Drosophila melanogaster: one gene and its partner. Changing the gene in region 1 together with any one later gene gives a genetic interaction. Each region holds a gene or a part of one and is shown on either strand. Other genes may lie near its edges.

Region 1 (4,586 bases):
GCGTATTTAGAACAGCAACAACAACAAACAGCGGCAAAAAAACAGAAATATCAAGATAAAAATATTTTTTCGGGCGGCCCTTTGTGGCTCTTCGATGGGACAGTGGCTACACTGCCAAATATTACCCAGTCATAACGGTCAAATAAGATAATTAATAACCTCGCCAAATTTGAATAAATAATTACATATAAATTGAATAGACTGGAACCTTGAAACTATCTTTGCACCTATCAAAGTGATTTTAGTTAAGGTATGTCATGTCAATATTAGTCTTGATTGTTTCCGGTGTATTGGCCCGCCTAAACCAAGTATTTGCTGATTGCGGCTTTGTTGTTGTTATTGTCGTGGCGCGTCTCAAGTCTGGAGTCGTCTCTTTGGGCTCTCTTAAGGGATCTTCTTCTGGGATCTGGGACTTCCTCCCTCCACACACGCGTTTTGAATTCGATTTGCTGATTGCCGTTTGCTTCTTGGCGAGATTTCGATTTCGTCGGCAACAACAGCAACGACGAGCCTCGACCATGAAACAATTTTATATTTTTGTGCAGAAAAAACGAAGATCAATAAAATTTTACCGACAACTGTATTTCGCTCAGACATCGGAGTATAGGGCCCTAAAATTAGTGACCAAATTGTCAAAGTGTGGGCTTTTGGGAGGGGGTGTGGGTCACATTTTTGGTTACAGTAATCAGGACAGAATCGAGCAAAAAGAAATTGAAACTAAGCAGCTGGTAAAAATTTGATCTTAATTTTTTGTGCGCTTCGGTTTTGTAGACTCCGAAAGAGCTACAAAACAAAGTGTTGAAATTTATTTAGGGAATGTGGAGCTTTGTTGCGTTAGAAGGTTATGTTCACTCCATGGGAAACTAATGTGGCAAAAGACAGATTGGGACTGATTGATATGGACTACGATAAATGCTTACATGACCCATGAATTGTTATAATTAATAGTATAGGAAAGAAATGAGTGTATAAATAATATTTCACATCAAGAAAGTAGTTTTACTGCAGCATTTTCCTTGATTTCCTATTATCTACATTTGAGTTGAAAAGGTCCAGAAGTTTTGCCTATCAACTGTGAACTAAAAACACACAAAAAGAAAGTTGCCCCTAGGCCTTGTGCATAATTCTGTAGAAAAGCGAGAAACAAGGAGGCTTTGTAAAAAATGGGGATGAGAAGAGAGGGCGCCGTGTGAGTTCCTGCAGAATCCGCTGCAAGAAAGGTGCTCCAACAACAACAAAAACAAAAATGGCAATTCCCAGAAACGAGAGTGTGTGGGAGGTGGAGAAGGTGAAGATGGAGAATTCTTCCAAAGGAGCAAGAAGAGCAAAGAATAGGGGCCGTCACTAATGAATTTGTATGCAGAGACCGCAATGATTTGGCACAAAAACAAAAGCAACAGTAACGGAAATGCGAGGATTAAGAAAAAAAAGGAAAACGCGGGTCCAACGAACAACATTTTGTGAAATTAGTGCAGACAGTCGAAAAACGCACCTTTTATGTTTTGTAGCCTCTCTTCACATTTTACGATTGCCAGTTGTTTCTTTTTCCATGATTTTTGATTTATGCAAAAGCAATAAAAATTATTATAATGAAGGCGCTGACATGGCTGATGGCCAGAGCAAAAAGCGTGCACTGAGAGAAATAGCTTATACGAATCATCATCAAAGTTCGTCAAAATGATTATTCAATCAATCGGTTTCTTGAAGAAAGTGTGAAGATTTTGAAAAATAAATAAGTTATCCTGGTTTAATATTTAGTTTAAATACTTTTTAAAAACTACAACTGCCATTCTAATTTAAATTAAGATCCTCACATTTTATGTCTGTGTAGGCGAAGAACAGAGTTGGCGACACGTGATGATGGTAGGGATAAGGAGAAGAACTGGGGGCGATGACGATGCTTATGTTCCTTGTCCGTTACTTTAACTTTACTTGCTCTTTCTCCCGCACTGGGGCTCATGTTAAAAAACAAATAAAAGTTCAACAAAAAAGAGCGCGAAGAGAATGAGTCAGAATGTTTGTTTGACTTCTGCACAAAGAATGGCTTCTTATTTCTTTGTGCTTCTGCAAAAGCACATGTAAATAAATCAAAAGGCGACAGGAAAATCGCCATTTTCCCCGCCTATATGCACAATCATTTGGGCGCAAAAAGACTTTTTAGCAGAGCGCTTTAGTTTAACTTCCAACTATTAGCTATTTTGATGGTCAGCATAAATTCTTCACCTTTTTGCCGTAATTATCTGCAGGAGAGAGTCACTCCTCGCGGCTGCGCCCAAAAACGGTTAAACATAAAAAAACTAACGGCAGTTTTATAACGCTGGTCTTGGGAACTTGGGGAGATTACCTTTTGGGAGGCTGCGCCAAAAATGAGCGGAAAATGCCCGCAAAAAGAGTGGGCGCTCAGAGATCCCCGAAGATGATACACAAGCAATCAAAAGAAATGCAACGGCCTCATCGCGCTCCTCATCCTTCTTCTCCTCCTTCCTCCTCTATTCCATCTTCACCCATTTCTTCCTGCACTTGCCGATGCACCGTTACGCGGAGTTGAGCCCGGGTTCAAGATCACCGCACCCAGCCAAATGTTTTTTCTGTTATTTTTTCCTTGATTTTTTCGGGCGCATTCTCCGCCTTGTCTCTTTGCACTTTTACACAGATTCTTTGGGGGATATTTCGTCGGTTTATGATGTTTCTTTTCCTTTAGTTGGTGTTTTTCTATTTTTTTTTTTTTGTGAGGGCACTTGGGACTAACGGTTCTGTTTGGTGAAGTTAACAAATAAAAGTAGCGCGCGCACTCAACTCACCGACAAACAAACACAAGCGCACAAAAATGTTTAACACACCATCGTCGTGCCGGAGGCTCAAGGCTTTAACTTCCTCGATCCGCAGTAACTTGGTCACTTTTTACTTTTATTTCTTTTGATCAGTAGTAGTCAGGAGTTGGAAGGCTCTTTTGAGACACAACCGTCGCCGCCGATGGATTGCGCGCAATTGAATTTCCTCCACAGCGGCGACTCAGCTCGTCGCCTCAACGAAAACGACTTCAGAACTCAGACTCGAATTTCTCTGCCGACGCCGGCAGAAGCAGCGGCTGCAAAAAGGAACGCAGCTCGCAGGGGTGGCAACTTTTAGATACCTACTACCTGCCTTTTAAGGGGCATAGAATGTATAAAGTAACACTTCAAGTCGTGGAGTCTGACGTTAGCTAGACATAAAATATAACAACTTAAGTATACATACATATGTGTATAAATTATACTTTTGTTTAAGGATTTTCATAGTGTATTGGTTTAAATTTAAATGCAGAATAAGATGCATAGCTATATCCTTAGCAACTCGTATGAACTCTCTTACTCTCGAAAAATAAAGGGTACCTCGATCTTTGTTCGCTCTCTGCGCCGAATCGCTTGATACTCTCCCAGAAAGGACCAAAGGTTTCCCTAACAAGGCTTCTGGAATGTCGTAGAACAGGGGGATGTTATGTCATACGAGAAAGAGACTGTCTAAATAAGGATGCAGCCACTGATTTTGAAGGATTTCAAAAGCCTCACCTAATAGATTTTTTTAGGATACTTCTAGAATAATTTATAATATATTTTTAAATTTAAGAGACATATTTAGATATGGAAAGTTCTGCGTAAAGGATACACTTTAAAAGATTTAATGTATATTTATGAAAGCAAATTCATTGCTGACTTACTATAGGTACATATCCCAACATCAGCAATTGTATCCTTCCGAATGCATAGAAGATCCCCTAGAAGCCCAAAAAAGAAGTTTTAACTAAGACTTAAAGCCCAAAAAATGTTGTCCGTCGAGTGAGGCCTTCTGTCAGCTAATGATCGCCCAGAGCAGGCTGGTAAAAGTTGCGAACCTTGGGCCCGGGGACAACTCCATTAGGGCGGCCCACATTCGGTGGCCAGTTGGGTTTACATTTGGTTGGCGAGCAGGTGCATCGGCGGCAAGAGTGCGACCGAGAGTCGCGAGGAAAGTTGCGGCGCGTGGCTAGAGATCGATGAAGAAACCAGAAGACGAAGACCCGCGCTGCCCGCATATCGCGCATCAGGACAATCGCTGAGGCACGAGGCATGTCCGGACACATCTGGAGTGGCACAGAGTCTCATAGTCACACCTTGAGCAGAGCTGATCGCTTAGCTATGAAAAAGATACCATGAAATTTATTACATTTCTTTCAACCAGATCCTTTTTAAGCTTGATCAAAGAACTAAGAACTATAAATCAATTAATGGCATTTAAGATCATTTGTAAGATCAATAACATATTTCGAAAATGAAACCAACAAAGGATTTAAGTTTACTAACTTTTTATTCGGCTTGTAATTGTGCTTTATGCTTATCTTCAATGTGTCTGTACTTATATAATGAGGACGGCTAATATTTCAGCTTTTTTGCAGCGCAGCATAAGAGTCGCAATTTAGCATAAATGAAAACTGAACTGAGATCGCCGATGGCCAGGGCATCATTAAACACATTAACAGACAACAGACGATGGCGATGGCAGGTGATGCCAAACAGAGACAGGTTGGCAAACTGACTGAGTGGCTAAATGACTGACGGTATGACTGACTG
Region 2 (5,044 bases), about 18 Mb from region 1:
TATATTAGTTTCTTAACGCATATCCATACAGTAGATTAGAAAACAATAAAGAACGTTTTTTTTTTTTGTAATTTTCGGTTAGTGAACCATTTGCTCTTTTCCTTAATTTTGTACGTCCAACTCAACTTTACTTTTGGTTGCGATTAACTTTGACTTGATATTTATTTTCCCAAGCATTTATTGGAAAAATCAATCAGATTCGATATAACCGCCGACAACTATTAGTTATTATCCTCTAGATTTATTCAACAGTATATTTTTTTTACGAAAACTTAGTTCATATGAGCAAAACAACAAATGTTTACATGTTTAAGAAGCAACATAAAACTTTAAAAGTCAATTTATCTGTTCCAGAAACAAACAACGTTTCTGTAAAGATTATTATTATTATAATAACCGAACCTCCCATAAATTTAATCATCTTGTTTTTTGCGTCCCGTTATCGGTCGCGACTCTTAGTCGTTGTTTGCTTATCTGCGCTTTAAGCTTGCAGCCGCCATTCAAGCTAAATACTGACGGAAAAGTGTCGATGATAAGAGCTGAATCCCATTGTGTCTACTATCATGCGCTTCCATTTGAATCAATTCCCATTTCGGTTGGAAAGTGTTTGTCGCCGAGCAAGAAAAAATTGCATGGGATTCGAGGGGCGTTGCACATTTCACAAGCCATCGCAGATGTTCGCCGTCCTTTTGCTTCATTTTGTTTGGCTGACGGGCGCCAGGCCAGTGATTCATTTATACATAAATAAGAACAAATTTCAATAAACAGTAAATGTGGAAAATTGATCGGTCCTTGTAAACGAAACTGGTGAGTTTCTTAACGAGCACAGTGGCCTGGGGGTGTCACTTTATGACAAAACGTTGAAATCGCTGAGTAGTTAAGACATTTTGAATGAGTTATTTAGTTAAAATTCGTATCCGCCCTTTTTGAAATCTTCACTGATTCACATATATTTCGAAAATATTTACAGTGCTCGGATACCAAAAGCGATTGGCGACTTCTGTAGCGTAGTTATCGCTGGGGTCAATTCGCATGCTTATGCTCTTAAATACATAAATAAATAAATGTGTCGGGTATCGAGACTCCACTGTAGTGGGGGACCATTGATACTTAATTTTAATTATTATTGCCCACTTGTGTAGCTGGTTGAAATATTCTGGGATCTTTTCAATCGGTGTAAAGCTCATTAAGTGCTGTTGTTTCCGTGAACACACAACTGGTTTTATCATAGGACAAAAGTTGTTAACAAAAGAAAATAGAGAAAATAGGTAGAAGAAATATATTTCATGCTACCTGCTGACGTCTTGTAAAATGTACGGACTGACTTTTAACTCAGGTTTAATTTATTTAGACTTTTGGTAACTGAATTGAGCATAACGTTTTGGATAAAGTAATCAACTTGAATAAACAGCACATGTGGCCAAATTTTGGGTTATATTGGAAATTGGTTTGCGGCAACTGCAATACAATGTTTATGTGACAAGTAACGCCCCACAATATTGCCCTCTTTTATTCCCATTTACTCGTAGCCATATCTGATGAGTCATCTGAAAAGTGCCAACAAGCTAAATAAAAGGGGGTCAAAATGCGAGCAAAACTAGCCAAAAAAACAGATTCCAACGGGAATGAATGTCGTTAGGATATGGAGCTCTTTAGAAGTATTTGCAAAATTCAAACGTGTAAGCAAATCCAGCAAATTAGGGAAGACTCTTGCATAAATTTAACAAGCAATGACACCGTGACAAACACAATCCCTGCTTTCGTAGGCGTTTTAAGCCATTCAAAGCCCCTACAAACACACGTGCACCCGTGGGAAAGTGACGTAACATTAGAGAGAGAGAGAGAGTGTGTTGGTAGAAAGAGAGGGGAGTCCAATCAATGACGAACGGAGTCCACAAACACCAGCAGCTGAGCCACAGATGCAATTTGAGGGTGGTGGTTTGTGTTTGTGGGACTTTGTGGACCGTAATCAGTGGTTTCGTTTTCAGAAAACTTTGTGATTTATCGCACAAAAACAAAAGGCACGTGAAAATGGAGCGAGGAAGCCAAGAAACCCGAACTGGTTGCATCTGAATGTTGTTGCTAAATTACTTTTGCAGCGTACTAACTGTGCCGATGGTTTTTATATTTAGGCTACATTTAAATTTTTTATTTTCTTTGCTAATTTGTTAGGCACTCCTTACTTTAGTATATTATTCATTCCAATTTTTATTATTATTAAAATTTAAGTTAATTTCTAAACAGATTTTATTGCGACTTATGTTTGCAAATAAAAATAAATTAATTTTAAAGCGTTACAAAGTAACAATAATATTTTCGTGTGTTTGATGGGTACATTTCCACTAGTAGCACAAGGCTGTGCCTCTTTTCTCTCTGTGTTATAACAAGGAAATGTAACGGTGATTTACGCAATGAAAGACCAAGAGAGTGGGCAAGGGAAAGAGATAGACAGGGCAACTCACAGTCCAAGTGCTTCTTCTTCGGGCCAATGCATTCCTCCGTGGTGGCCTTGCAAACGGACTTGGCGAGTCCTTGGCCCGCAAGGCTGTGACGGGCGGCCAGCAGCCTGTCGTTGATCGTTTGCCCTGCCATGGTCATGATGAAGCTGTTGCTGTTGTTGTTTCTGCTGCCGCTCGCTGGTTTTTATTTACTTGATTAATTTAATTATGCACCAAAGGAGCTGACCACACCGACACACACACACACTCGAAAGCAGATACAGAGAGAGGGAGAGAGAGACACACACACACACGCGTATGGGGCGAGCGAGAGACAGAGAGGTATTGATTGATTGAGAATATTTCGAACGGGAAAACTCTGCTATGCGAGCCTCACGATTAAACTAACAGTAAAGATTTAGTGGTTCCTACGTCACAATCACTACACAATTTATCGCCGCGGTTTATGCGCTCTCTAACCGGTGCCTAACGCTGAAACGCGATTTTTTAATTCTCTATTTTTCCTCTGCCACAAATCGATAATGGCGACTGGCAAATGGAGCGAGCGTATGAGCAATGTCCTAAAGCGTCCACAAAGTGGAGCTAACGCGTGCAATCGACTTGAGTTTACGGCGTTAGGTGGGAAAATATCGATTGCCATAACGTAAGCGAATACGAAATAGCTGAACTTAGCTTTTACGATGTGTTCATATAAGTTCTGAAAATAAAAAAAAATAATGATAAATAAATAAATAAAAATATAAAATATTAAGATACTATAAATAAATCTTTTTTTATAACTTAGCACTTAAAATTCCCCAACAGCAGTTAAAAAGTAGCTAGATTTGTCGGAAGTGTAGCCAAACGTAACGTAAGCTAAGGGGCTGTCAACAGGAATTTTTAGTTTCGAGTAGGCGGTCATACTGGTCATTAAAATAAATAAAATTATACTAAAAAACAGTAGTTAGCACAATCAACAGTCTCGTAATAAAATTGTAAGATGTTGAATGGACAGATTGCACACAGTTATTTGGAGAACTCGTGCACGCTGATCATACCCCGCCCGCCTGTCCTGAATCAGTCCTCAAAGTCGGCCCAGCCAGCAGCAGCTGCTGCTGCTTCTTCTTCCGCTGGTGAGGAGTTTGGTCAGGAAGCGGGGTCGGGGTTGGCGGAAGCGGAGGCGTTGCATGTGGATCGCATAAGAAACTGCGATATATTCGTTGACGCGCACGATCTTTATTTCTACGCAGATGTTAAGCTGTACAAGTGAGTCACATCCGGCAATCTGTCGTGCCCATGGTGGGCCATGGTGGCGAAATTCCAGCGATATCATTGCGTACTTGTACTCCCTTTTCGGACAGATTCCACAGCCGTCGCACCTTCGACTTGCGAGAGCTGAAGACGCTGTTGATAAAGTTCAACACGACAGAGAATCACTACCAAATTTGCCTGCGCTGTCTGCCCCTAACAGCGGGTGCCCAGGAAGGACCCGGTGGAGAAAGAGGCGGAGGCGGTGGTACGGGGGATGCAGCCAAGCAGTGGAATAGTCGCAAAGAGTACATAGCCGCATTCCTGCACCTACCCACACTGAGTGCCAATTTGCCGGACAAGCAGCCTCTGGTGCAGGAATGGAAACTCAAACGAATCACCGATCAGTGCCAATTGCAGCTCGACGACCACGAGCGCACCTACAAGCTGACCAACAATTTTGGGTACGGCTATGCTAGCGAATACAGCGGACCGCTAGACCTGAGTGAGGTGAGTTCAATTGGTTAACCTGCTCTTCCGCGCACTAAACACAGATGTTTTCACAGTTGGACAGAGCCACGTGCCGCGTGTCGGAGCCACATCGCATGAGCCCCATCCAAAGGCGGCAAGAGCGCGTGGTCGATGAGATGAAGCGCTTTTCCCGCGAGCAGTACAAAATAAATTTTGTGGAGCTACAGGTTCCGTCCGGTCACCAGAATCCTTTACGCTACAAACCGAAAATCTACGAGACTTCCATGACCCAGGAGCAAGCGCATCTGCTGCACAACATCAGCCGAATGCAGACACGGGAGCAGCAGCCGTGCGACGTTTTTCGGCAAAACGAGATCGATTGCGGGCTGATAAGCATTCTGTTGGCCATATGCTATGATGTGCGGACGACGAACAATGAGCCGACGTGTGAATCGGGCTGGACGCGAAGCATACTGTGCCCGCTTTATTGCTACTTTGAGCAATTCGACAACTATCGGGACGTACTGGTTGCCTTCCTGCGGCGAATGATCACCTACCCGCTGTACCGCAATTTCGAGTTGGGCCGCCAATGTGTACGGGATGCCATAGAAGTTTTAAAGGGCGGTCGCAACTGGTTAATTAATCAGCTGCTGCTAACGCACCAGCAGTTCGCCAGCAGTGATCCCAGTCGCGATAGCTTCAACAACTACTATTTGGAGGACTATATACGATATGTGACCAGCCCGAGCGCCTGCAGTGATGAGCACATGCGCCTTCTTGCCCGCAACCTTAAGAACGTGCTGATGGACGTAAACAAGCAACACTTGGGCCTGGGAGTGACCGAGATTGAGACTGAGCTGATCAAGGAGCTGATGCAGGAGATGCGC

What was found.
Region 2: of jigr1 (region 1) and lap, changing one enhances a phenotype caused by changing the other (phenotypic enhancement), as found in Drosophila melanogaster (one study listed by BioGRID).

Annotation. Positions count from the first base shown.
Region 1 is NT_033777.3:25,636,288-25,640,873, reverse strand, and holds the start of jigr1 (jing interacting gene regulatory 1), read right to left. Parts: upstream 3,032-4,586; 5' UTR 2,802-3,031; exon of another isoform or gene 2,345-2,801; intron 1,082-2,344; exon of another isoform or gene 921-1,081; intron 1-920.
Region 2 is NT_033777.3:7,184,966-7,190,009, reverse strand, and holds the start of lap (like-AP180), read right to left. Parts: upstream 3,017-5,044; 5' UTR 2,599-3,016; coding exon 2,463-2,598; intron 1-2,462. Other genes in the region: CG10055 (uncharacterized protein), read left to right, coding at 3,439-3,704, 3,800-4,196, 4,253-5,044. UniProt on the Drosophila melanogaster protein: Assembly protein recruiting clathrin and adaptor protein complex 2 (AP2) to cell membranes at sites of coated-pit formation and clathrin-vesicle assembly.